Linked DNA regions of Canis lupus familiaris. The protein of the gene in region 3 purifies or fractionates together with the protein of the main gene of each other region. This does not show direct contact. Links are inferred from orthologs where the notes say so. Each region holds a gene or a part of one and is shown on either strand. Other genes may lie near its edges. The genes, in order: DUSP16, DUSP8 and MAPK9.

Region 1 (7,541 bases), on a different chromosome or scaffold from region 3:
CGCAGGCTTCCGTGCATTTGTAGAACTTCCCTAGCTTGGGCATTTCCCTCAGCAAGTCCCGAGGCAACACCGCGATCTTCAGAAATGAGAGCTGTGAGTGAGCATGTGTGAGCTGTGAGTGAGCATGTGTGAGCACTCTAGGGTGAGCGAAATGTCTTCCCTACTCGTTCATACCCCAGCTAAGCGCAGATACACAGTACTCAGTAGGAAACAACTTTTAAAGTATCAATACTAAAGACTGAAAGGTATTTTGAAGTGACAGTTTTTCTTCTTGGGGGATGTTGGGGTGTAAAACGTTTTTAACGCCAAGAGAAATAATTGGCTTCCTCTCCCCCCTGCCCACTCAGCCCTCCGTTAGGAGCTTACTGTGGCCCCTCGGAGAGGTCATCGCTGTTCACACGTTCATAGTGAGGAGCACGGAATTTCTTGCACACGCACGGGCACGTGGCTCCCTTTCAAATGACCCGCTACAGAGGGGAGGGGGACCAGGTAACTTCATCACTCACCCGCCTCAAACCAAATCTCGAAATCTGTGGCAACTAGACCTAGTTGCTTACTAGTCCAACCAGCCCCCCCCCCCCCCCCCCCGTGGCGGGCCCCTGGGCGTCCCCTACTCTGAGGAGCGTTGTGCTGGGTTATCCGTGTCCATGTGAGACCTGATGGGATTCAGACTCCGACTTCTTCACCAGCCAAGGCAGAGTCCTACCACTCGCCTTGGTTTTTATTACACAGTGAGCGGGATTCACGCTCAAAGCGTTGGTGCACCAAGCACTTGAACTTGAGCCTTTGAAACCATCGCGACTCCCTTGAGCAGAGCGCGCCCAGGGCATAGCGGGGCTCGCCCTCCGCCCTCCGCCCTCCGCCAGCCGGGCCCTGTGCCCGCCACACGCTCCTGCGAGGTCACGGTCTGCAGTTCCTGGGGACCCAGCTGGAGCTAAAGGGTTGGAACTGGGTTTTACATAAACCTGACTGGACGCCGGGGCACAGACACCGCAGCAACAGGATTGACTTGTAAACATCTGCCAAGACAGTGATGTAATTTCCCAGTTGCTTTTGCAATTACCTTAAAGATCTAACCGAGGATAATTATGCGGTACGAGGATGAATGGGCCCCACGGAATGCTAGAAATAACTCACTTCCCTCTTCCATTTATAGATCCAGGGGAGTAAGTTCAGAGAACAGCACCTAGACAAATTTTACTAGATCTAAAACATCTCTGCGTGGTGTCAGAAAGCATAACCAGACAGTATTTAAAATGACAGCGAAGGCTTTGAGGGCAAAAAGTTCCAGTCCCCTAATCGCAGCACAGCCCCCCTGGCCGCTCCTGCCTTCCTCACCTCCCCTTAGCCTGAGCCCTGTGCTAATTTTCCTTGTCAGACCCAAACTAGTCCTCTGACACTAGCCTGCCCCGACTGCTGAGACCCCCAAACCTGTGCACTTCAATTGTAACTGGCATGACCTTCGGGGCTTCCCAAGATCTGCACCCTCTCATCTGAAGACTCTCCCTGACACACCTGCTCCCACACACCACCCCATCCATCTCCGGAAGCTGGAAGATTCGACACCCCTTTAAACTTCCATCTCCTGCGCGCCTCCCATTCTTTGCAAAATCCTGGCCAAGGCAGCTCCTCCAGTCTTTGCTCACCCAGTACAATCCTTCTTGCCTTTAAATTTTTAAAATTTAACTTCTACTCAGAAACCTGTCCCAACCGATTTAAATGACACCCTCAATGATTCTCTCGTCATTCCAAGGTAATATGCTTTATTATGAAGCATATTTATTTATGAAGGTAAAAACTTTATTCCTGATGCATAAAATTCTTTGATGAGACTAAGCTACTAGTCTCCTAAGTTGTCCCGTGCAGTGTCATTTATAAGCAGAGAGGTCATCAAGATGTACGTGGCAGGGACGAGAACAAGGACTGCCCACCCCACTTTTCCTGTAAGAATTCTGAAGCCATTTACATATTCCATCATGATGCACCATGAATGTGCCTCTGGTCTTCCTCCTTCCTACCCTGCACTTATTCTCCATTCGGTCAGTCAGCGAGTAGTCCCACGTACGTGCCCAGGTTCTGTACTGTAGTGTGCATTTGGTAGACGCACTTAAGCACGAAGGCCCGCACTGACCTGCTGGCTAAGGATCCGGTGTTTCGTGTGATTGATGGAGCACACACTGTATCTGCTGCCCTCAGCACCTTACTCTGGCCTAAGTCCTCTGTGACGTGAGGACAGCAGGACCCGTTCCACCACCACCACCTCCTACAACTCGGATGCTGCTCTCCCAAGTTTATAGTTGCAAGGAGAGGTCCTTTCTCATATTTATGTATAAACAGGTACCAGTTTTGATTTTATTTCATATTAACATACAAGAACATCAAAATGAGAAATGCACGATTTAACCATTCAATAGCATCTTACTCCAAAAGAATGCTATATTCATATTAAACATTTATACAGTCTGTCCACCTCACTTTACAAATGTCCTAAATCGTTGTCCAGCATTTCTCACATAGAAATCTAGTCTTGCTCTTTAGAAATCACCGTTCTGTATCCTTCTGGTACACTCCAGGGCTTCCCCTAGGACTCGGAACTGAAGGGAGCCAGCCGCCCCACCCCAGCAGTGCCAGCACTTGCCACCCAGCCACAGCCGTCTCGATCCCAAGAACTGATGATGTGACGTTCGCAATCAGAGACCAAGTGGTCATGCAGGACTACCTCACAGTCACAGGAAGGAAGGAACCATGGCCGGGAGAAATCCCGAATACTGGATGTCCCCCAACCCTCCTGCGACATACTTAACTCTGGAGCTATTGCTTTCATTTCTTAAAAATATTACATTGTTGTGACCAGCCCCTGGAAGACGTGAGCTCTTCACATCTGATGTCTGCATAACACATCAAAAAATTACTGTGAAAACTTGGCGAAAGTCTGAGTTCATCCCAAATTTAAACTTATGTAGAAAAACTAACTCAGATCATTCTAACACCACTTTTTCAATAGAGTAACACCGAGCTCCCTAAGCGGTGTACTTTCTTCCTGCCTTCACCTCACACCCGGATCGCAGCACGTTACTGGTGTACATACAACCAGTTATGTTACGCGATGCTTGGAATCAGCATGAGCAAATCCATTCTGAATCACGTCACTCATCCTGTGCTGGTTTCAGCAGTCATCACGGGAAACATGAAGTCGCATCCTTGCCGAAGGACTATCCATTTGTTGAACACAGAAAAACCTGAGATATGAGTCAGCAACTAGCTACACTTACAGTAAAGAACAATGACAATACCCGCCCCCCCCTCAAAAAAAAGCTGCTGACGTGAATTAAGGCTTTAAAAAGAGGACCCTACTGTAGCTGACAAGACTCAAGCCAGGAAGTTTCAAAGCAGATATGTACTAATCACTTGTGTACTTGTTCCAATCAATTCCTATTTTCAGCTGCCAGGATTGATTCCATATAGTGATTGTAGGTCAGAAACGAGAGACCACCTTGGTCCCGCCCCATTTTGCTGTGTCCCTTCTACTAAAAAAATGCCAAGGAGTGTTTCTGAGAACAGCTTGGTTGTGGCTTCCCACTCTGCTCACAACGAAACAAAACCTAACCACCTTCCCCCCTCACCTTCCTCCACTGTTTTATTCTGAACACTCCTCATGTAACTAGCCTCTCAGCCCTGTTAGTAAATTGGAAAGTCTAAGGAAATTACAGAACTCCCCCCCCCACCCCCCTTCATCACATGCTCAGGGGAATAAAACCATGGAGAAAAAGGAGTTTCCTTTTCTCCTTAGCAATTTTACTTCTTTAATCTTTCCAGAGTTTTTCTCCCTCTTGGTAGTTTCCTATAAAAGTCTACCTAACTGTTAGGTTTTTACAAAATGTATCTGTGCAAAGAAACTGAAATGGGAAAAATCGACTTTGGCTGAGAACTTGATGGTGCTGCTGTTCTGCTACCAACCCGAAAAAATTCACATCTGGCTTAAACCAAGTAAATCTTTATTTAAAGGATTAACCACCCCATTTTGAACAATTCTTTGATTTACGCGGAGGGAGGTAGACTTGGTTAGCCTCCCGACCTATGCTACACATCACTGGCTGTTGAATTGAATCCTAGATGGTTTGCCCTCTTCATCAAGCTGAGAAGAAGAAAAACTTAACTACCTCCATCCAGGCCCAACTGGGAATTTGTGCAGAGACGGTGTGAACTGGTCTGAAAAGTGTGACTAGCTACCTACCTATTCACGACGCCTAGAAGAAAGGCTACCAGACTTGGTAGTGGTAAAAGCCCCGACTTTTGGTCTGAGGTACTGGGTTTGCTCTAAAGTAGGCCTGGGCAAGGCCCCTGACGGTCCGCGCAGCAGAATAGGGCCCGCATCACTCGGCGGCCAGCTGAGCTCGAATGTGTGAATCCGTTTTGGGTGTGGTCATTTCCCTTGCGTTTACCACGAGGCTGTGTGTCTAATGGGGTCTCCCCGCCCAACCCACGAGCTGGCTCAGTCTCAGCACTAAGGTGCACCACGGAAGGGGCTGGACAGACTAGCACTCAAGACCTCTTGTAGCACAACATGGAAACTGTGGGGCATTTTGTCCTCCAACACCAAATAAAACCAGGTTCGGTAAGAACAAGAGGATGTGCAATTCACCACATACAATTTTTCATCTGTCTAGCAGGATATCTAGCAATCTGCCCTTCCACTTTTGTTGAGAGAAATATTAGCTGATCTCTCAAGTACAGATGTTGAGAGAACTGTGTTGATCCATCTTTTGCTTTTACACCATAGCTCCATTCTCCAAAAATATATATGTATGTACATATATATATATTTCAGATTTACAGGGAATTTTTTTTTTTTTTTTTTTTTTTTGTGAACAAGAAAAACATTGTCAACAGAAGTCACAAGTGTGTCTCTTCTCAGGAGACCTCAATAATTTCCATGCTGCCTGAAAAGCTAGACTGGCTGCCCACCTTCCCCAGTTCTTCCCGAGACCTGTTCTCCGACATGATGCCCTCTCCAAATTCCATCTGGCAGCTTCGGCGTTTAAACTGCTTTTCAAAGGGGCTCTCTTCATGCCAGCTCCGCCGCGAGTCAGCTCTGTCACTTGGCTTCTGCCGCCTGCGCACAGAGTAGACCTGGTCACTACAGGTGGGCAGCTGGCTACAGCTGTAGGCAGAGTAACTGGCACTGCCTCCGTAGACGGCCGAGGCAGAGTAGAAGTGAGAGGACTCTGTGGCAAAATACCAGCTATTGGTCAGGGAAGGGGTGGAGGTCTGCGGAGCCAAGATATCCGAATGCCAGCCCTTGAGGCCCAGCCCAGCGGCAGACTTGGCGAGGTGCTGCTGGCTGGTGGAGAGGCCAAAAAGGAAGTTGGTATGGCAGTTGTCCTCTACGCTCCCACTCCGGTGCAGCGGGGAGATGAGGGACCGTGGGCCGGCACTGCCACTGCTGGTTCTCACTGCATGTAATCGCTTGCTCTGGCTATCAGAGGGCCTGACAGGCTGAGGCTTCTTGGGGACGTTGGCCTCCTCCTTATCTGGGCTGGTTTCTGGGGTCTGCTCTGATACTTCCTCAACGGGAGAGAACTGACAGAGCTTGTTGGTCCCCTCCAGAGTCGTGGAAGGTTTGTAGTATTCAAGAGCGTCTTCTGATGAGGAGAAGCCATGCAAGGACGCCGCCACACTGGCCGAGTATGAAACAGATTTGATGTCCAGAGAGAAGGAGCGCTTGAGCTTACTGCTGTCTTCCAGCTTGCCTGAGGGCAGGTGGAGCCCACTGAGCGCCTGGACCAGAGAGCTGTCCTCCAACAGCGGGGGCTGTGTGCTGGGTGTGCTGGCAGCATGCATGGGCCTTTGGCCTGCCGCCTCTGAGGTAGCAGAGTTGGCACAGGGTGGACCGAGGCACATCTCGCCCTTCTGTCCACCCTCGGAGACCGCAGGGACAGGGTCATTTGGCTTCTCCAGGTGCAGCAGCTTGAGTTTGCTCTTTGGCCCTGATGTGCCAGTCTGGTTCTTAATCTTCTTCTCATAGTCTAGGAGTTGGCCCAGAAAATTGAAGTTTGGAGATATGGTAGGTCTTTTTTCTTTCACAAATCTATGAAGAGAGGAAAGAAACAGAAATCCTGAATTTTGCAACTACAATTTATCTTAAGAACAGTATGAAAATAAAATATATTAAGTGAACAAATATGACAGAGAATTATTAGAGCCTCCCAAATACCTATGGAAGAGGACTGGTTTGAAAGTTTAGGGAGACATACAACATGTCCCTGGAGAATGCTAGAAAGACAGGGCCCAGGCCCTAAAAGCTCTAGTTTTAGCCTTCTTATTTTCAAGGACCCAAAGTTTCCAATGCAACTGACAAGCGAGGGTTCTGTCCTCACTGCTGGGGCCTAGCCCCCGCACCCCCATGCTGGTGCCACCGCTGGGAGTCCAGGGGAACGGTCACTCTCCAGCTTCAGTTCCCCAGTATCACATCTTCTAACTCCCCCCAGTCACTTCCTCAGCACATTTCATGTATTAATTAACGACCAGAAAAGTGGATAGCAGATGGCCAGAGCACCAAGCACACACCTGAGCTCCTTCTCTTAGTATTCAACAGGAAAGAACAACCAGCTCTCAGTGGCCTGTGTGTGCTAAGCACTGGGCTAATGCATTAGCCACAGTATTATCTCATTCAGTCCCCAAAACTCCCCATGTCAAGTTGCTGTATTAACCCCATCACACAAGGACACAAAGTCCTTATGTGATGTGCCCGAAGTCACTGAAAGCCAAGCCTCATGTCTAGGTCCATTTTTGTAACCACTGTGTTAAAAAAGAATCATTGAGCGGTAAAAACCAGTACTAAACAGCTCTTATGTTTAATTGTGCAAACACAGACTCTTAGAGACAGTAAACAAATTCTTCAGTGGCTTCTGACCTTCACTCCGTACAAGATGCAGGAGTGAAACTACACTGAAGATTCGTATTTGAATATGGAAATAGAAAAATGACAAACTCCTTGGAAATCAAGTCACCTAAAGCAAGTGAACAAAGCCAGAAACAAGTATAAACGCAGAGTCCTCATAAGACCTTGTAACGTGACCTAAGAGTGCCTTTTCTCCTGGTTTCTTATTTATTTATTTATTTATTTATTTATTTATTTATTTATTTATTTATTCATTCATTCATTCATTCATTCATTCATTCATTCATAGAGATGCAGAGAGAGAGAGTAGCAGAGACACAGGCAGAGGGAGAAGCAGGCTCCACGCAGAGAGCCCGACGTGGGACTCGATCCGGGGTCCCCAGGATCACGCCCTGGGCTGCAGGTGGTGCTAAACCACTGCGCCACCGGGGCTGCCCTTCTCCTGGTTTCTATGTGGTGCCAGAAGCCCAGAGGAAGAAAAGCCTGAGTGGAGGACGAGGGAACTGAAGCAAAGGCAGGACCCTGCTCCTCCAGGCTCATTCCTCAGATGAGAAGCTGCTCAGGTAGCTTATTTCTTCTTCCAGATTTTCCTTTTTTTTTTTTTTTAAGATTTTATTTACTTATTTATTCATAGAGATAC
Region 2 (8,343 bases), on a different chromosome or scaffold from region 3:
GGAAGTGCTTGGGATGGCCCTCGTCAGTGGGCAGGGCCCGAGGATCCCATCCACAGACACCCTGCTCCCCGGGCTCCTCCACTGTGGGGGTAAGGCCTGGGAGTGCAGCTGGAGCAGCTGTCCCTCATCCTCAAAAGGGATACCCCACAAGCTGAGGGGGAGTGTTCACCAGCTGGGGAGGTCCTGCCTGTTGGTGGAGGGGAGTCCCACCTGCCAGAGGGTGCTCATCTGCTGAGGGGTCCCTGATTCAATTCCTGAATGAACTGTTCTGAGTTCTAACCCGTGTCTGTGGTGTGGCAGACAGGCCACAGCTAGCAGAACCCTCTCCACATCCCCCACAAGCCTCTTGGATGTGTGACTAGGAGCCCAGCTCCAAGGCCGGTCCCTGAGACAGCTACCTGCAGCGGGGCAGAGGGGCACTCAGTGTCCTCATCCTTCAGGTGAGGGACAGATCGTTTCCACCTGAAGCAACAAATGCCAGAGGCAGGGACAAGGGAAGGGGCTAGGAGAGATCCTCTGCCCTCCCTGCAGCCACTGGGCGCAAACACTGCCCTCAGGTCCTTAACTGGACAGGAGAGGAGTTGGGGTGGGGAGGGGTGCACCCTCCACAGATGGGAATCCAGGCTGTAGGACAGGCAGGGAGGCAGGCTCAAGAGGGGAGGAGGGTAGGGATGAGCCCAGCCAGGCTGCAGGGCTCCAGGACAGGGGCAGGGGGCTGGAAGGGTGGGCAGCGAGGTTCCAGGGCCCGGTACCTGGTCTCAGCCCCACCTCCCCCAAGGAACTCTGCAGCTCAGCCATATTAACCGCTATAGTATTGTTATTTGCAGCCGAGGGGGACTCATTAGCAAGTTAGCACCTCCGTCGTTGCCATGGCAACCACAGAGGTGCCAGGCAACCACCGCTCCTGCGGCACAGCCACAGAGCCGGCTGGCTCTGCAGGACGGCAGGGCCCACCCCTTGCTTCCTGCAGGTGCCCAGTAGCTGGGACCTGGGATAACCCTGGGCCAAGTCCACATAAGCCCCAAAGCCCAGGTGTGACATTCCTTCAGTACCCCCACCAACCCCACCCCTGCTCAGCCTGGTCCTAACCTTCCTTGCCTTGGGCACCTGTGCGCACAGCCCCCCTCACTCCCACCTCCGGGGAAGCCTTCTCCAAGTGGCCAAGGTCTGGCCGGAGTGCACTTCCTGCACGAGACCTCTTGCCCTGAGCGGGCATCCTGGGAGTGCATCCTCACCCACGGGGACTCCAGGAGCCTAAAGCTCCTGGGATAGGCCCTTGCCTGCAGTGGGATGGATCTGGGCCCAGAGCTCCAGTAGGGCTAGGGAAGCTTAGGACAGTCTTGAGCAGATGAGTGGGGCTAGAACAGGCCTGGTGGGCACAGAGAAAACAGATATTGTCTCAGTCCTCTCTGACTTCAGGGACCCTCTCCAGGCTCAATCCAGAACCCATTCTTGGGAACTGAGGGGAAACAGTATCCATCACCTGCTATTCTAGAGTCTCGGTGCCGGTGGGATGGAGGCACAACTACAGACACCCCCATCAAAGGGTTCGTGGCTAGGGAGACTTGGCAGTTCCGAAGACTGGAGGCCCCTCCCCACCAGGCTGGGCACCACCCAGCAGGCGGCAAGCAGCTCCCCTTGCCCTGCAAGGCCACATACACAGGGCAGCCTGTGCTGTGACATGCCCTTCTGCACCCTGTCTGAACCCTGTCTGCTCACCTCTTTCCCACAAGCCACCCCATCCCCTCATGCAACTACTCACAAGGCAGACATGTGTGCTGGTACATGTGGCCACTGGGTGCACTCATCCTCACCCTCTGGGGGCCAAATCCCCTCAAATCCCAGGACACTCAAACCCCAGGGGCCAGCCCCACGATCTCTCTACATTGTTGGCTCTCAGGGCCTCCATGGGGCACATCTTTGTCCCTGAGCAAGGGACATGCGTGGCCTAAAAACTCCCAATGGATAGCATCTTCACCAAGGCCTTCTGCTCAGCACCTACTGACGGGGAACTCACTACCTCCAGAGACAACGGTCAGGACTGTCAGCCATGGGTGGGCCTTGGTGTCTCCAGCCCGAGTGGTGCCTGGCACTCATAGGTAGACCCTCGAGAAGAGCTGGCAGGGGGCCCCCACTATGCTGCGATGTCCAGCTCACTGTGACCCAGGGGTACCTCTGGAGTCAAAAACTGCTGCACAATGAAGCCAGGAGATAGGCTGGTAGATAGCTCTCACCCACTCAGCTCATTTTTCCCCTCCTCTGCTTTCATCAGGGACCCCTAGATGCTCTCACTCCTGCCCCCTCATCTCCCTGGGCTGCAGGGAACAGGACCCAAGTTGGCCTTTACCTGGTCCCAGAGGGACTGATAGCAAGGCCAAGTAGGGCTGACTTGGTGTGGAGGCCATGGGCCTGGGAGACAATGGGGTGGGGCCCTGCCCCCTCAGTTCACAGGGGTCTGGGTAGAGCTTGCAGTAGGTCTCAGCGTGTGGGTCCCTCAGGACCCTACAGATCTAGGTTTCCTCTGTTCCTGCCTGGCTTGTGCTAGCCCTACTGACCTGCAGGACTCTGGTCACTGTCCCCCCATGCTACACATGTGGGCCATTCCGGGATATCTATGGTCATTGCCTGGAGCGGTCCAGGCAGAAGTGGACTCAGCCTGTGCAGTTCTGGTGGTCAGAGTCTGACCCATGTCCCTCTTGCCATGGTTTGGCTCCTTCATCTGCTTTCCCTCTGAGCTGCACCCTCTGGAGATGCAGCCAGGATACCCCCTGGCTTCCAAGGCCCCTTGGGCCCTCTGTCCGTGCAGCAGAAACATCTGGGCTCCAAGGTCAGCCTCAGCTGGAGAGGAGAGGATGCTGGGTAGGTTTCTGGAGCAGAGGATGCCTTCAAGCATCCTTCTGCATCCATTGCATGGAAGCCTTCGTTCCTGGAGGCAGCCTCGGGGGCACAGGAGCCCTCCCAAGGGCTGAGGGCAGCAGGGGGGGAACGGGGTGGGGGTTGTTGGGAACTAGAACCTGCCCAGCAGCTCTCCCGGAGCCCTTGGCTGACTGCAGCAGGAGGTATTCAGGATGAACTCCCAGCTCCTAGTCACATGATCTGTCCTACCGGGCAGGTGCTTATTAAGCATCTGAGGAGTGAATTCCTGGGACATCTGTCCTCCCTGAGCAGGAGGTGGGGGGGGGGGGGTGTACTGGATGCTACACTCATTTCCTGAGCTGCCCTCCCAGCAAGAAGGTCTGAGGGAGGCAGAGGGCAGTGTCTGGACCCACAGACCTCCGCTCAGACTCCCAGGGGCAGGGGGCACAGCAGAATGCTGCTCCCCTGATCTGCAGCACCCCCACCTCCACCCCAGGCTGCACCATGACACTTTGGGCATCACCGTAGACCCTGCCACTTCTCTCCTCTGCCGCATGGACTGCCCCTTGCACCCCGCAATCACTGAAGCACCCAGGCCCCCAACTCCCCCCTGCAGAAGCCAGTCCATTTTTGCAGTGGGAAGTCAGGAGGCAAATTCTCCCAGTCGCGGTGACCTGATGGGAGCTGGGCCCATTGTGGCCCCCTCCCTTCAAGGCCAGACACTGGGGTACCCCTCCCCACCAAGGTGGGCAGATAGGCTGAGGCAGGCTGCTTGCACTCAGCCTGGCAGTGCCAGCCCCTCCCCCAGCACCCGCTGCTGCCTCTGCAGCAGGCTGGCGGATGGTCTTTATTCTGCAGAGGCCAGCTGAGCACCCTGAGGTGGGGGTACCGGTGGCGGCCTGAACACACAGGGGACAGGGGTCTGCAGCTCCTCCCCACCGAGCTCGGAATGGGCCCTTTCCTAAGCCTCCCACAGGCCCAAACCCTCCGCTCCTTTGGTCAGGGCCTGCATCCCTACCCTGCGGGGGCAGGAACGACCGTCCGATCTGGGGCCTCCCTGGTGCGGTGGGGGGCAGCCTGGGAAGTCTGGGGCTCTAGGCTGAGGTCCGTACAGGTCTGCGCAGAGGGCCCAGGTCCGGGGTGCTTACTGCATGCCCTTCCCCCCACAAAATAAGAAAGAATTTCGAGGAGAAAGGCGGCGAAGCGGGGGTTGGCGGGGGCAGCGCGGACCGGGCCGGGGGTCCGCTGGGCGCCGTGGGAGGCGGGGGAAGGGCTTCCCGGGCCGGCCCGCCGCGTCCCCCTGAACCGGGCCTCTTCCCTCCGGCCCGCCGCCGCCGCCGCCGCCGCCGCCTCTTCCCGGGCGCCCGCCGGGTGCAGCCGCCCCAGCGCTCCCGCCGTTGCGCCCACCGGACCGGCTCCCCGCCCGCGCCCCGCGTGTCCCCGCGCCCCCGCTCGGCGCCCCCGCTCACCTCGCCGCTGCTCGCGTCCGGGGCGCACGGGGACCGGCGCCGCCCATGGGCCCGGCGGGGGCCCGCGCAGCCGGGGCAGGGGCCGGGGGAGCGCGCGGGCCTCGTCGCCGTCGCCGCCGTCGCCGCCGCCGCCGCGGGGAGCGCTCGCTCGGGCCGGGGCGCGCGCACTGCGGGCGGGCACGCGCGCTCGCGGCGCGCATCCCACCCCGGGCTCGGCGGGCGCGGCCGGTGCGGCTCCGGCGCGGCTCGGGCTCCGGCGTCCGGGCGGGGGGCGCGGAGCCGGCTGGGCCGCCGCGCTCGGCCGCGAGTGACAGGCCCGGGGCGGAGGGCGGGGCTGCCGGCGGGGATGAGGTCATGCCGAGCGAAAAAGGCCCTGACGTCACCTGCAGCCAATCAGCGCGCGCAGCTCCAGGGCAGGTGACGTCAGCCGGAGCCCGGCCGCGGGTGCAGATCAGAGGCGGCGGCCGCGGGGGGCAGGAGCGGGGCGGGGGGGGGGGGGGGCGAGCGGGCCTCCGCCCTCCGCCCTCTGCCCTCCGCCCCTCGCCCGGGCACCGGCTCTTAAAGGCGCCGCACAGCGTCCCTCCCGCGCCGCCGGGGCCCCCGCCTCCGGGAAGCCTTCCCAGCCCCGGCGCCGAGCCCACAGCCGGGGACGCCGGGCGTCGCGGCACTCACGCCCGAGGAGGGGCCGGCCGAACGGGTCCTGGCGCGAGGGTCCCTCCCCCCTCCCCCGCCGCGGCCGGAGCTGGCGCCGCCTCCCCCGGCCCACAGCCTTTGTTTGCGCGGGGCCTGCGGGCCGGGGACCCCGCGGCGAGCTGGGCCCGGCGAGCACCTCACCTGCGGCACCTACGCCGGCGCCTCCACGACCCCGGGGCTGGGAACCTGGGTTTCCACTGCGCTGGGCAGCAGATGGGGAGCTCGGAGGCGGGATGGCTCGTGTGGGGTCACACACCTCCTGGAGTCCGGCGAGGGGGTCCCCAGTGCAGCGCTGACCCCTGGCCCCACCGGGTCACCTCTGGCCCCTGGTGCTTCCAGGGAGAACAGCGCTCATGGGGTGCACCCTGCGTGTTCTCCTCCCCTCCCCACACAAAGAAGGCTGTTGAGGGTCTGTCCCCGCCCCCCCCCCCCACCCCCCACGGTGGGGAAAGTCGCGCTGGAGGCCAGGGTGCAGGGAGTCCAGAGGGCGCGTTGGGGGTGGGGGGACCTAGGTAATTACCCCTTGAGCAGGGTTGGGCCGGAAACAAGGTGGTGGGCCGTCTGGAGGCCACCCCAGGAGGTGGCATGCAAGCAATGGCTGGAGGCTGTGGAGGCACCCTGGGTGCAGGAGGGACCCCCCCCTCACTCCCCCCACCCCCATCCCCCAACCCCGCCCTAGGCAGGAAAGACCTGAACCCTCCCTAGACCTGGGGGCAGTCAGGGAGCTAGGACCAGGAGACCCAGGAGGATACACATCTCCAGGTTCATCCAGTCCTTACTGAGCACCTTCTGGGGCCAGGCCCTGTGCTGGGCACTGGGGAGTTAGTTCTGAGATGGAGGACAAAGATCCTTGCCAGGGAGTTGACAGTTGATGGGAGCCTTCAAAGGTAATTATTTTTGAGGGAGGGGGAAGGTGTGACCAGACACCACAGCTGTTTCTAACCAGCCCCCCCCCACCCCCACCCAAGGCTGCCTGCTGGAGAGTGAGGGCCATCTTTCCTCCAGCCTGGAGCCCCCTAGCCTTGGCAAGTCTCCCAGGGCCACCCTGGGGCTCTGAAAGGCGCTTTGGCCTTCAGGAAGTGCAGCTCCTTCCCACAAAGGGAGGGAGCCTGGGACCACTTTTGGCATCCCTGGTTGAATGAAGGGTCACAGAAAATGAAGCAGGTGCAACTGGCTTGGGCCAAGATGAGCCCTCAGGACCCAGAGCACTGTGTGGGCGTGCAGGAGGGCATCACTGCAGGAGGGCGCTGGGGGTGGGTGTCTGGAGGGCCCCTTTGCTGATCCTCATTCCTGTTCCTGAGAGAGCAGGCTGGGCCTCTTGCAGCCTCAGAGCTTTACAGAGTAGGTGTTTAGCAAGGGCCTGAGGCCTCCTTCCTGGCTGGCCTGAGGAATGTGGGGGTAGCTGTGTGTGTAGGGGGAGAGCGTGTTCCTGGCAAAGAGCCAGCACCAGGGACAAACAATCACCTGGGCCTGACCTGGAAGGACGCACTGGTAACCCAGGGGCTATTTGGGGCTGGAGCTGGGGTGGCTTCAGGTCCTTCCTCTTTCTCTGCCCTTAGCCAGAATCCTCTGGAATCTGCTGAGAAGAGAGGTCTTCCAGAGGCCTGATCCTGAGCTGTGGGGAATGTCCAACCCAGATGCATGGCCAGGTCAGTGCTGCGTGGGGGATGCAGTGGGGCCTTGCTGTGTTTGGGCTCACTCCAAGTCTGAAAAGTGCTGGGCCCTGGGAGGGGACAGGAGGACTCAGGCTGAGCCTCAGATGGGGCCAGATGGCTGGAGGGGACACATGAGGCCCCTGGAGAGCATGGAAAGGTCCAGAAGGTCTGGGACTGGCAGGACATGGGAGGTTGTCAGTCTTGAGATTGATGAGCTGGGCTTGCTCCGAGGCTAGACCCAGGATGAGCCCAGTTGAGGAGGAAGGCAGAAGGTGTCCAAGGGGGCTCCTCTTCTGCCCGGCCCAGATGTGGTCAGGCGAGTGCCAATGGCTCCAAAGAACTCCGGTTGTGCCCTGGGCAGCTCCTAGCTAGGCCTGAGCAGGTGGCAGTAAACTGAGGAGCAGGCGATGGTGTCCTCTCTTCCTTCTGGAAACTCTAGTAGGTGAGTGGATGGGGGTGGCCTCTAGCTTTTCGGGACTGTTGCTGGCGAGGGAAGTATGTTTGGGCCACGATTACTTGACAATCTTGTCATTTCTCGTGCAAAGGAGCATTTAAAACCTGGACTTTTGCAACAGTGGGGCAGTGGGTAGGGAGATACTGTGACTCTCCAAAGCCGCTAGCCCTGCCCTAGGTTCTTTCCAGGCCCCGGGGCTGAATTCTGGCTCCTCCCGCTGGGCTCCCCCAGAGGGCCGGCCTCCTGGGCGCTGAGACGCCGGCGTCTAGGAGACGTGGAGCGGCAGGGACGGCTTGGGGAAGCCTGCGCGGGGTCCACAGTGGCCGCCGTGTCAGGCGGGGCCAGGTCCAAGCCCGGCGGCCCTCTGGGCCCTGGCTCCCCGCGGGAGATCGCCGCCCCGGGGCCCGCGCCCCCAGCTGTGGAGCAGGATCTGCAGGCGCCGGGCAGCGTCCGGGGCGACCGCGCTCGGGGCCCAGCAGGTGCAGGTGCGGGCGCAGCCGGACGGTCCGTGCGCGCCCTCTGCCGCCCGCCTGCGCCCGACCCGCCGCGGGGAAGACGCTCGGGGTGGACTTTCCTTCACGCAGCCTCCTCTCGGCAAAAAGAAAAGCAAGGTCCACTTCTTCTCGATGGTTTGCAACTCCGCGTCTCAGCCAATGACTCACAGTAAACGTGTGTCCGTGACATTACTCTTCCCACAACCCGACTTTCTCTGAGTCCTCATTGTTAACAATATTGGTAACAGTGCACGTCTCAGCGGGTGGGCTCTGCAGGCACCTGTCATCGCTATCCGCCCAAGGCCTAGAGCATTCCCCTCACCCCAGGAAGGTCCCTCACCCTCTCCAGCCAGTTGTCCCCTCACCTCCTCACCCGGCACCCAGTTCACAGAGATGGAAGCCAGCGGTGTTAATTATTTTTTGTTGGCTGCTCCCACTCCAGGAAGTGCTTTTGAGATTTCATCCAGGGTCCTGCTCTCCCACAACCAGGTGATAAATGCCTGTGCAGTGTTGCATCTTATGGATGTATGGTGAGACTCGAATGGATTTTCTCTATTTATATGGCCGATGATTTCCGTATTTTGGCTACTACAACGCAGTGAGCAGCATCCTTCTTTATGTTTTTCACAATACATTAAACATTATTTTATTCCCTGGGTTTTAATCATGATATTTGAAGAAAACTGACAAACACAGAGGATGGTATAACAAACGCCTAGCTC
Region 3 (7,565 bases):
TAATTATTTCCATAATTAAGGAAATTAAGGCAGACCATATAACTGAAGAGAGATTTATCAATCTGAAAAATGGATCAGGAAAAAATTCCAGGATGAAGCCCAAAGAGACAAAAGTATAGAAAACTACAGAAGAGCAGATGTATTAGTTTTCTAGTGCTGCATAATAAATTACCACAAACTTGGTGTTTAAAGAAAAAAAACAGCCATTTATAATATCATAGTACTATAGGTCAGAAATCTGCATGGGCTTGCCCAAGTTTTTGCTCAATATCTCACCAAATTGACATCAAGATGTTGGCTGGGCTGCACTCTCATCTGGAGGCTCTGAGAAAGAATGTGCTTCCAAGCACAGTCACAGGACCCAGTTCCTTGCAGCTGTAAGTCTGAGGTCTCCATCCCTTGCTCTCTGTCAGCCAAGGGCCACCACACTTTTAGAGCCTCCCACATTCCTTCTTACAATGCCGCCCCCCCCCCCATCTTCTAGGCTGCAGTGGTCCGTCTAACCCTTCTCACGATAAAAAATCTCAGACTTTCTCCTCTTCCCAGCAGCCAGAACAAACTCTGCTTCTAAAGGGCTCTTGTCATTAGATTAGCCCCAGCTCCTGTTTCTTAATTTCATGAGAGTATGCTTAGCCTTGTTGTAGGACATGGGTCAATATACGTAAAAATCAAATGTCTAGAAATTGGTAGAATGAACCACTTTGACAGTGGTTTGACATTATCTACTAAAATATATACAGTCTCATCCTTAGCTATGTACTTATCAGAAATGCATGCATAGGGGACTCAGAGCCCTGTGTGAGAACATTTATGACCATGTTTTTTGTAATCGCTTGCAAACTGAAAACAACCAAAGTGTCTATCAACATTATGTCATATAGCCATGCAAAGGCATATTATAGCAATGACACAGAATAGCTACACACAACAACAGACGAGTCTCACAAATGTAATGTTGAGTGAAAGAAGTCAAATTTCAAAAACTAGGCAAAAATAAGCCATGGGAGGTGGGGAGAGGGAGCTTGAAAATTCATGTTTAGCTGGTTGAAGCAAGGAAGTGATTATCATAAAAGTCAGATGTAGTCAGAAGTATCCCTCCTGTCATCTTTGAGGGACAGGAGGGATAGTGATTAGTAGATGTTGTGGGGGTTATTGGAGTGATGCCAACAAAACATGGCTCTTTGTGATAAATCATTAAGCTGAGGAACAGGACAGGAAGTTGAGGAATGAATATCACCAGTACTCAATGTTGGAAATCTGTGGAGTTCTCAGAGAAAATTGAATGTGAAGTCAGAAGACAAACCATCAGTCAAGGCTGAGAGCAAAATAAGATCATTTATCTTCCATACACTTTTTCTGAGGAAATTCCTTGAGGATGTATGTATTCTACCAAGAAAGAGAATATGAGAACATGTATGACCAGAAACATGGGGGCCAGTGAAAAAAATTCCAGGGATGAAGCTGTGCAGCAGGTCTTGAAAGAAATTGCAAGAAAAAAATATCTTCAAGAATGGAATAGACCCCAAACAATATGTGAGTGAGAAGGTAGAAAGTACTGGGGATAGCCTTCAGAAAGGGGTATTTTTCTTCTCCCCACCCCCCCAACTTTTATTTGAGAGAGAGAGAGAGCAAGAGCAGGGAGGAGAGGGAGAAGCAGGTTCCCTGCTGAGGACCTTGGGATCCTCACCTGAGAGAGAGGAAGGCAGATGCTTAACCAACTGAGCTACCCAGGCTCCCTTTCTTTTAATAAGAACAATCCTTCGTTAGGAACTTGTGGTGGAAAAGCTAGAAAGTCATGGTCCACATGTCAAACAGCTTTAAAAGGACATGATGTTTGAACAACTGATGGAATTGAAAAGAATAAGAAAAGAAAATCCATTTGACTGATGCCAGAAGTCGTCTCATTCTCTTGTGAGTGGCAATGAGGGTCATGTGATCCTTAGAAAATGAAATGTCATCTCAGCTCTGCAATTAGGAACTTTGACATGTGCCTGCATACATAGTCTCTTTGTCTTGGTTTTCAACTTTTGGACACATCCAAAACAAGCCCAGAAGACTTAGTTGTAGAGTAAGGAGATATGTTCTCTGGCTTGACTATTTGAGACAGAGTTTGGAGGAAGGGAAAGAGAGCAGAGCGTGCTGAAGGCCAAAGAGATGGACTGTGATGGCCTCATCTTACATACTGGAGGTCCTGAGGTTCCCTTGAAAGTTGATAGAACAAGAAGTTTAGGCACATTGTTTGGAGTTATAAAGGTAACCAAGGGAAAAGTTTAAAATAACATGAGAGCAAAAAGCTGGGAGGAGTTCGGGGTTTCAAGTAAAGTGACTAAATCTTTAGTTTTGGGGGAGTAGATAGACAATTTCTGAAACTGATAAATGAGAAAATAATGATAAAAGTATATTTGGAGTTGAGGAGTGAGCACAAGAATTCAAACCAGAAGTAATTGAAGGTGGTTTTTCCAAGGATTGGCACTAGTAGTGGAAATAGGTGTCTGTACACGTCTGCCCATTTGGCTCATTTTGAACAAAAACTTTTGAGATCAAAAAAGGTGTAACTGTTGTCACATTTTAAGACTGATAAATATAGGTACAAGTACACATGTATATTAATTGTTGCACAAGTAGATTTATCATTAACATTTTATAATTTGTATGAATGGTGCATTTTCATATGAGCATGAAGATTTACATATGTGTATACATGTACACATAATGTGACCTGAATTAGAAATAATTACAAAGTAACATGATCTCTAGCCTTCGATTTAAAAAAGATTGACCTGAGGATTGTTGGCAGAAAAACACTAATAGAAATGAATAAGTGAAAACAGTGTTACAAACTGAATAAAATAAATACATAGAAATAATATATTTTTTAAGATTTTATTTATTTGAGGGAGTCAGCATGAGGGAAGGTGCAAACGGGGGGAGGGGCAGAGGGAGAGGGAGAAGCAGATTCCCCCAACAGCAGGGAGCCCAACTCAGGGCTCGATCCCAGGACCCTGGGATCACAACCAGAGTGGAAGGCAGATGCTTAACTGACTGAGCCTCCCAGGCGCCCCCCTGGGTAAACTATGAGCGAAGCATCATAGTTTAAATGATGCTTCGGTTCTTAGGTGGTCCTTAGCAGCTTTTGGCCTCTGATGAGTAGCTGAAGGGTAATAATAGCACCAGGAGTGCCATTAGTACTAATTTGTACAGAATGTACAATCAGGCTACTCAATTTTTCCTATTTTCTGGAAGAAAAAGGAACCATGGCTTTCAGCTGGGAACTTGAGATGCCAGAAACACAGCCTCTGCAAGATTTTATTCATACTATAATGGTACAAGGAGTTATTTCTAGCAGGATTTTATATATAGTAATTGCTTACATTAGGGGTTTTGTATCTTAGGGATTTTACCACGAGCTGAGATGCTGGCTTCTGTTTTCTTTTAGATTCTTTTGTCTGGGGAAAAACACAAACAAAGCTTCTCATAATATTCTTCTCATGAGCTCAACCCTCTCCTCCACCGTGATATGCCAGAATATATTTATATTTTATTCTGTGATATCCAGTGACTGTTTCAATTTATTGGCATATTTAAACTGAAGACTTCATTTCTTGACTGGTCTTACATGCTTTGTATTGAATTACTTGTTTCCAAATACAATAATGTCAACCAATATAATGAGAAGTCAGTGTGCCTCCTAACTGCAGCTGGCATGTTCGTGCTTCTGCAAAGGAGTCAGTCCATTCTACCCTCTTAGCCCCCTTGCCTTGCTCTTGGTGTGTAGAGGTACCCTAAGTGGAAACAAGCTGAAAGGTATTTCCTTATTTGTTACTTAGTCAAAAAGAGAATACATTGAACAAAGACCAAAAAGAGAATACATTGAACAAAGACCGTGCACTGCAGTCTTTTCCAGAATCATCCTAATGGGTTCCTTATTATATTTCCTGATTACAGTGCCGCTTTTGATACAGTTCTTGGGATAAATGTTGCAGTCAAGAAACTGAGTCGTCCTTTTCAGAATCAGACTCATGCAAAGAGAGCTTACCGTGAACTCGTCCTCTTAAAATGTGTCAATCATAAAAATGTAAGTTATGTCTATGTTTTCCTCTGATAATATGGTCAACAATATGGTAATCTTGTGGGTCTTTGGAAATACCTTGAGTTCAGAACTCAAGTAAACTAGTAATAACAGTAACTATTTAAATGGTTCTATTTTATTGACAAAAATTTTTTAATTTTATTTATTTGAGAGAGAGAGAGAGCATGAGTGAGGTGAGGGGCAGAGGCAGAAGCCGACTCCCCACTCAGCAGGGAGTCCGATGTAGGGCTCCATCCTGGGATCATGACCTGAGTCAAAGGTAGATACTTAACCGCCTGAGCCACCCAGGTGCCCCTTATTGACATAATTCTTAATCAGCATTGGGGGAATTGAAGTCAGCCAGAAGCATCATGGTTCAGTCTAGGTCTGATAGCAATATCAATTAACCCTGCATCATTTGACTTTCACTATTTCTGTTACTATAAAATGGCAATAATATTGACCTAACAAACTGAGAAACACCTAGATAATTTCTTAGAAAAACATTGTTCTACAAAGTGACTTTTTACTTTGTATGATGGAAGTTTCATTTCTAAATAAATGTGAGTAGATGGTGTGGTATTCAAGATAGCTGTACTTGACATCTCCACAGAAATCAAAGCACTGTAAATTTCGAGGAGAAATTGTATGTCTTCAGAAAATGAGGTACTCAGGCACATTGTATGTCCACTACTGGTCTCAGAGCATGATTCTGATAACCTTGCCATGTTATAAAAATCATAAAATGTAATGTCTGGAAGGGGCTTTGGAGATCACCCCTTGTGACCCCTTTTTTTGTTGTGGGGGATGAGTATTCAAGACTACACTCAATTCTACGTGACTCCCTTTGTTTTAGCGTTTATGCTGGATCTTTATGGTACAGGAACATTATGTACAAAACTAAGATAGGTTTATTCTTTTGAGTCTGTGGTTTGAATTTGTTTTTAATTTCTCCAATGCATACTTTATTTTTATACATTAAAATTTTTTTCAGGTTACATGAAACTATGATTATTATTTTTTAAATTCAAATAAAATAAACAAGGCAAAAATCATTGAATCCCTCAGAACCCTACCATTAACGTTTTGGTGAGCATTCTTACACATGTATCATATGTACATGAGCACAATCAGCTATGTTACTGTGAGTCCTGCCTTTTCCCTTAGGAATGTTTCTGGACCTCAAATACATTACATAGTGTACTATTATTAATACACAATAATTTATTTAGCCAGTCACCTGTTACTGGTTTTTAGATTGCTTCCAGTTTTTGCTATTATAACCAATGCTGCAATAAACATCCTTATACATGCATCTTTGCACACCTGTCCAGGTGAACTTCTTAGCCAGAGCATATACTGCACATTTCTAATTTTAATATATGCTGACAAATTGACCTCAAGGAAGACTGTCAATGAAAAGTTAATGAAAGTTTTGCACTTTCATTAAGATTATCTGAGGGAAAAAAAGAATATCAAAGAATGTGTTTTATTTCAGAATCCCCTCAGGACTATGTACATATTATACATTTTTTTGTTGTTGTACTTTACCAACCTGAGAAATGACAAATGATATTTTATTCTTACTTGTGAGGTTAATTTCTTTCCATACTTTTTAAGCCATTTATTGTTAAAGAACTTGTTTCCCATGGCCTTTGGCAATTTTTCTCTTGGGCTGTTTTTCTCTTTCTTATGCATTTATAGAGGATCTTTGTATATTAAAGCTATCAACCCTCACTTCTTTTCCATTTCAACTCATTTAGGTTGCTTTTGCCATACCAAAATTTTTTTTTTTTTTTTTTTTTTTTTGGTTTGTTGGTCTTGGTTTGGGTTTAACACAACACATGTCCTTGGTTTCCTATCATGCTTAGAAAAGGCGGTTCTTCACCAGGATTACATAAATGTTTATCCACATTTTAATATTTTGTGGTTTCGTGGTTTACATTTAAATCTTTGTTCCATTTTGAGTTGATGTGAAGATCAAAGTATGGATTTGGTTTTATTTTGCACTCGGTCAGCCAGCCACCCCAATCCTATCTACTCAATCATTCATCTTTCCCTTGGTCATTTAAAATGATAGAGGACATGTGTGATTCTCAAGCAGTGGGACTCACTGTTTAACTGTTGTGGTACCAGGACCAATGTCTTGTGGTAAAGGTCTTTCTAGAACTCTCTTAAGTAAATACATAATACTGTGAGGGATTCATCTTCATCATTCTAAAAATACAAGCTTCATATTTCAAAAGTTTAGAAATTTGTAGATAGTATTTCAGTTTTCAGAGTTAACATATTGCTTTCATATTTTTTTGCCCGTAATTTCTACTTTTTTATGTTCAGAGCCCGAATGACATTATGTGTTAAAATTCTGTCATAATAAGATACTAGAGACACATAAAATGTGATGTGATTAAAAGCACATCTTATTTCCAGGATAAGAATCCTAATCATTTAACTTTTCTCATATACCATGTAACAGGATGTTTTGGTAAAACTAATAATAAATACTGAGCTCTGCTATGCTTTGTTTTTCAGTTTTAATACATTTTCATGTTAATTTTTATAATTATGTAGAGTTAGAGTTACCTGATGTGCTGAGGTATAATAAACCTTCTCTTTTCAGATAATTAGTTTGTTAAATGTGTTTACACCACAAAAGACTCTAGAAGAATTTCAAGATGTGTAAGTATCGTTTTTACTCAGTAATACACTATGTATCAAAGACTAAATATTTAGAAAAGAAAGTAACTGCTTTTTTTTTTATTTAGGAAATGTAGGTAGCAATATATTTAGCCACTTTTTTCTGTGGAGGAGAAATAGTAAGGAAGATAAATAATAATATTCAACTGTTTGTACCTAGATATTATCATCTCCCTAACAGAGAAAGGATGATTGAAAATAATTCTTCAGAGCAAACAGTGACCATTAATGCTGCCCATTTGCTTTGCTGAAATATGAAATGTTTTTCTCCAGCCTCCTGAAAGCCAGGATTACAGGGTTTGAGGGTTTATAATTATTATTTGAAATCGTTACATCATTAAATGTTATGTGTTTCCAAAATCTGAAACAGAATTATCTTACTAGCAATAAAATATTAATTTATCGTATTGAGGTATAATGCACAACTAATGCTAAACTTACTGGTGTGTTCATTCAACAAATATTTGATTGCCACTCATGTGCTAGGCACTCTCTTGGACTTACTTGAGGGAACAAAACAGGCAAAAATCCCTTTTATTATTAAAAATTGCATGTAGTCATACTCACTTTTAGAGCTCTGAGAGAGAGAAGAAAAATAACCAACAAAAGTCAGGAAATGATGCTCATAAGGACTTAGCACATACTCTGGAAGAAGCAGAACTGGGTTTAGGGAATCAGAAGTGCTGGGACTTGGAAGTCAGGTTGAGATTGTAAGCAGGGTGGTTGGAGAAAGACCTCACTGTATTGGTGACATCTGAAGAAAGCCTTCAAGGAAGTGAGGGGTTAGTCCTATAGATAT

The links.
Region 1: the proteins of MAPK9 (region 3) and DUSP16 purify together in Homo sapiens (affinity purification with mass spectrometry; 6 studies listed by BioGRID and IntAct, with this or other methods). This does not show direct contact. The link is inferred for Canis lupus familiaris from reciprocal best matches to the Homo sapiens genes MAPK9 and DUSP16.
Region 2: the proteins of MAPK9 (region 3) and DUSP8 purify together in Homo sapiens (affinity purification with mass spectrometry; 4 studies listed by BioGRID and IntAct, with this or other methods). This does not show direct contact. The link is inferred for Canis lupus familiaris from reciprocal best matches to the Homo sapiens genes MAPK9 and DUSP8.

Annotation. Positions count from the first base shown.
Region 1 is NC_049248.1:12,344,605-12,352,145, forward strand, and holds the end of DUSP16 (dual specificity protein phosphatase 16), read right to left. Parts: intron 6,089-7,541; coding exon 4,912-6,088; 3' UTR 2,323-4,911; downstream 1-2,322. UniProt on the Homo sapiens protein: Dual specificity protein phosphatase involved in the inactivation of MAP kinases. Dephosphorylates MAPK10 bound to ARRB2.
Region 2 is NC_049239.1:46,260,467-46,268,809, forward strand, and holds the start of DUSP8 (dual specificity protein phosphatase 8), read right to left. Parts: upstream 4,412-8,343; 5' UTR 4,326-4,411; intron 4,072-4,325; exon of another isoform or gene 3,875-4,071; intron 1-3,874. UniProt on the Homo sapiens protein: Has phosphatase activity with synthetic phosphatase substrates and negatively regulates mitogen-activated protein kinase activity, presumably by catalysing their dephosphorylation.
Region 3 is NC_049232.1:1,713,789-1,721,353, forward strand, and holds part of MAPK9 (mitogen-activated protein kinase 9), read left to right. Parts: intron 1-3,945; coding exon 3,946-4,075; intron 4,076-6,689; coding exon 6,690-6,748; intron 6,749-6,926; exon of another isoform or gene 6,927-7,025; coding exon of another isoform or gene 7,026-7,063; intron 7,064-7,565. UniProt on the Homo sapiens protein: Serine/threonine-protein kinase involved in various processes such as cell proliferation, differentiation, migration, transformation and programmed cell death.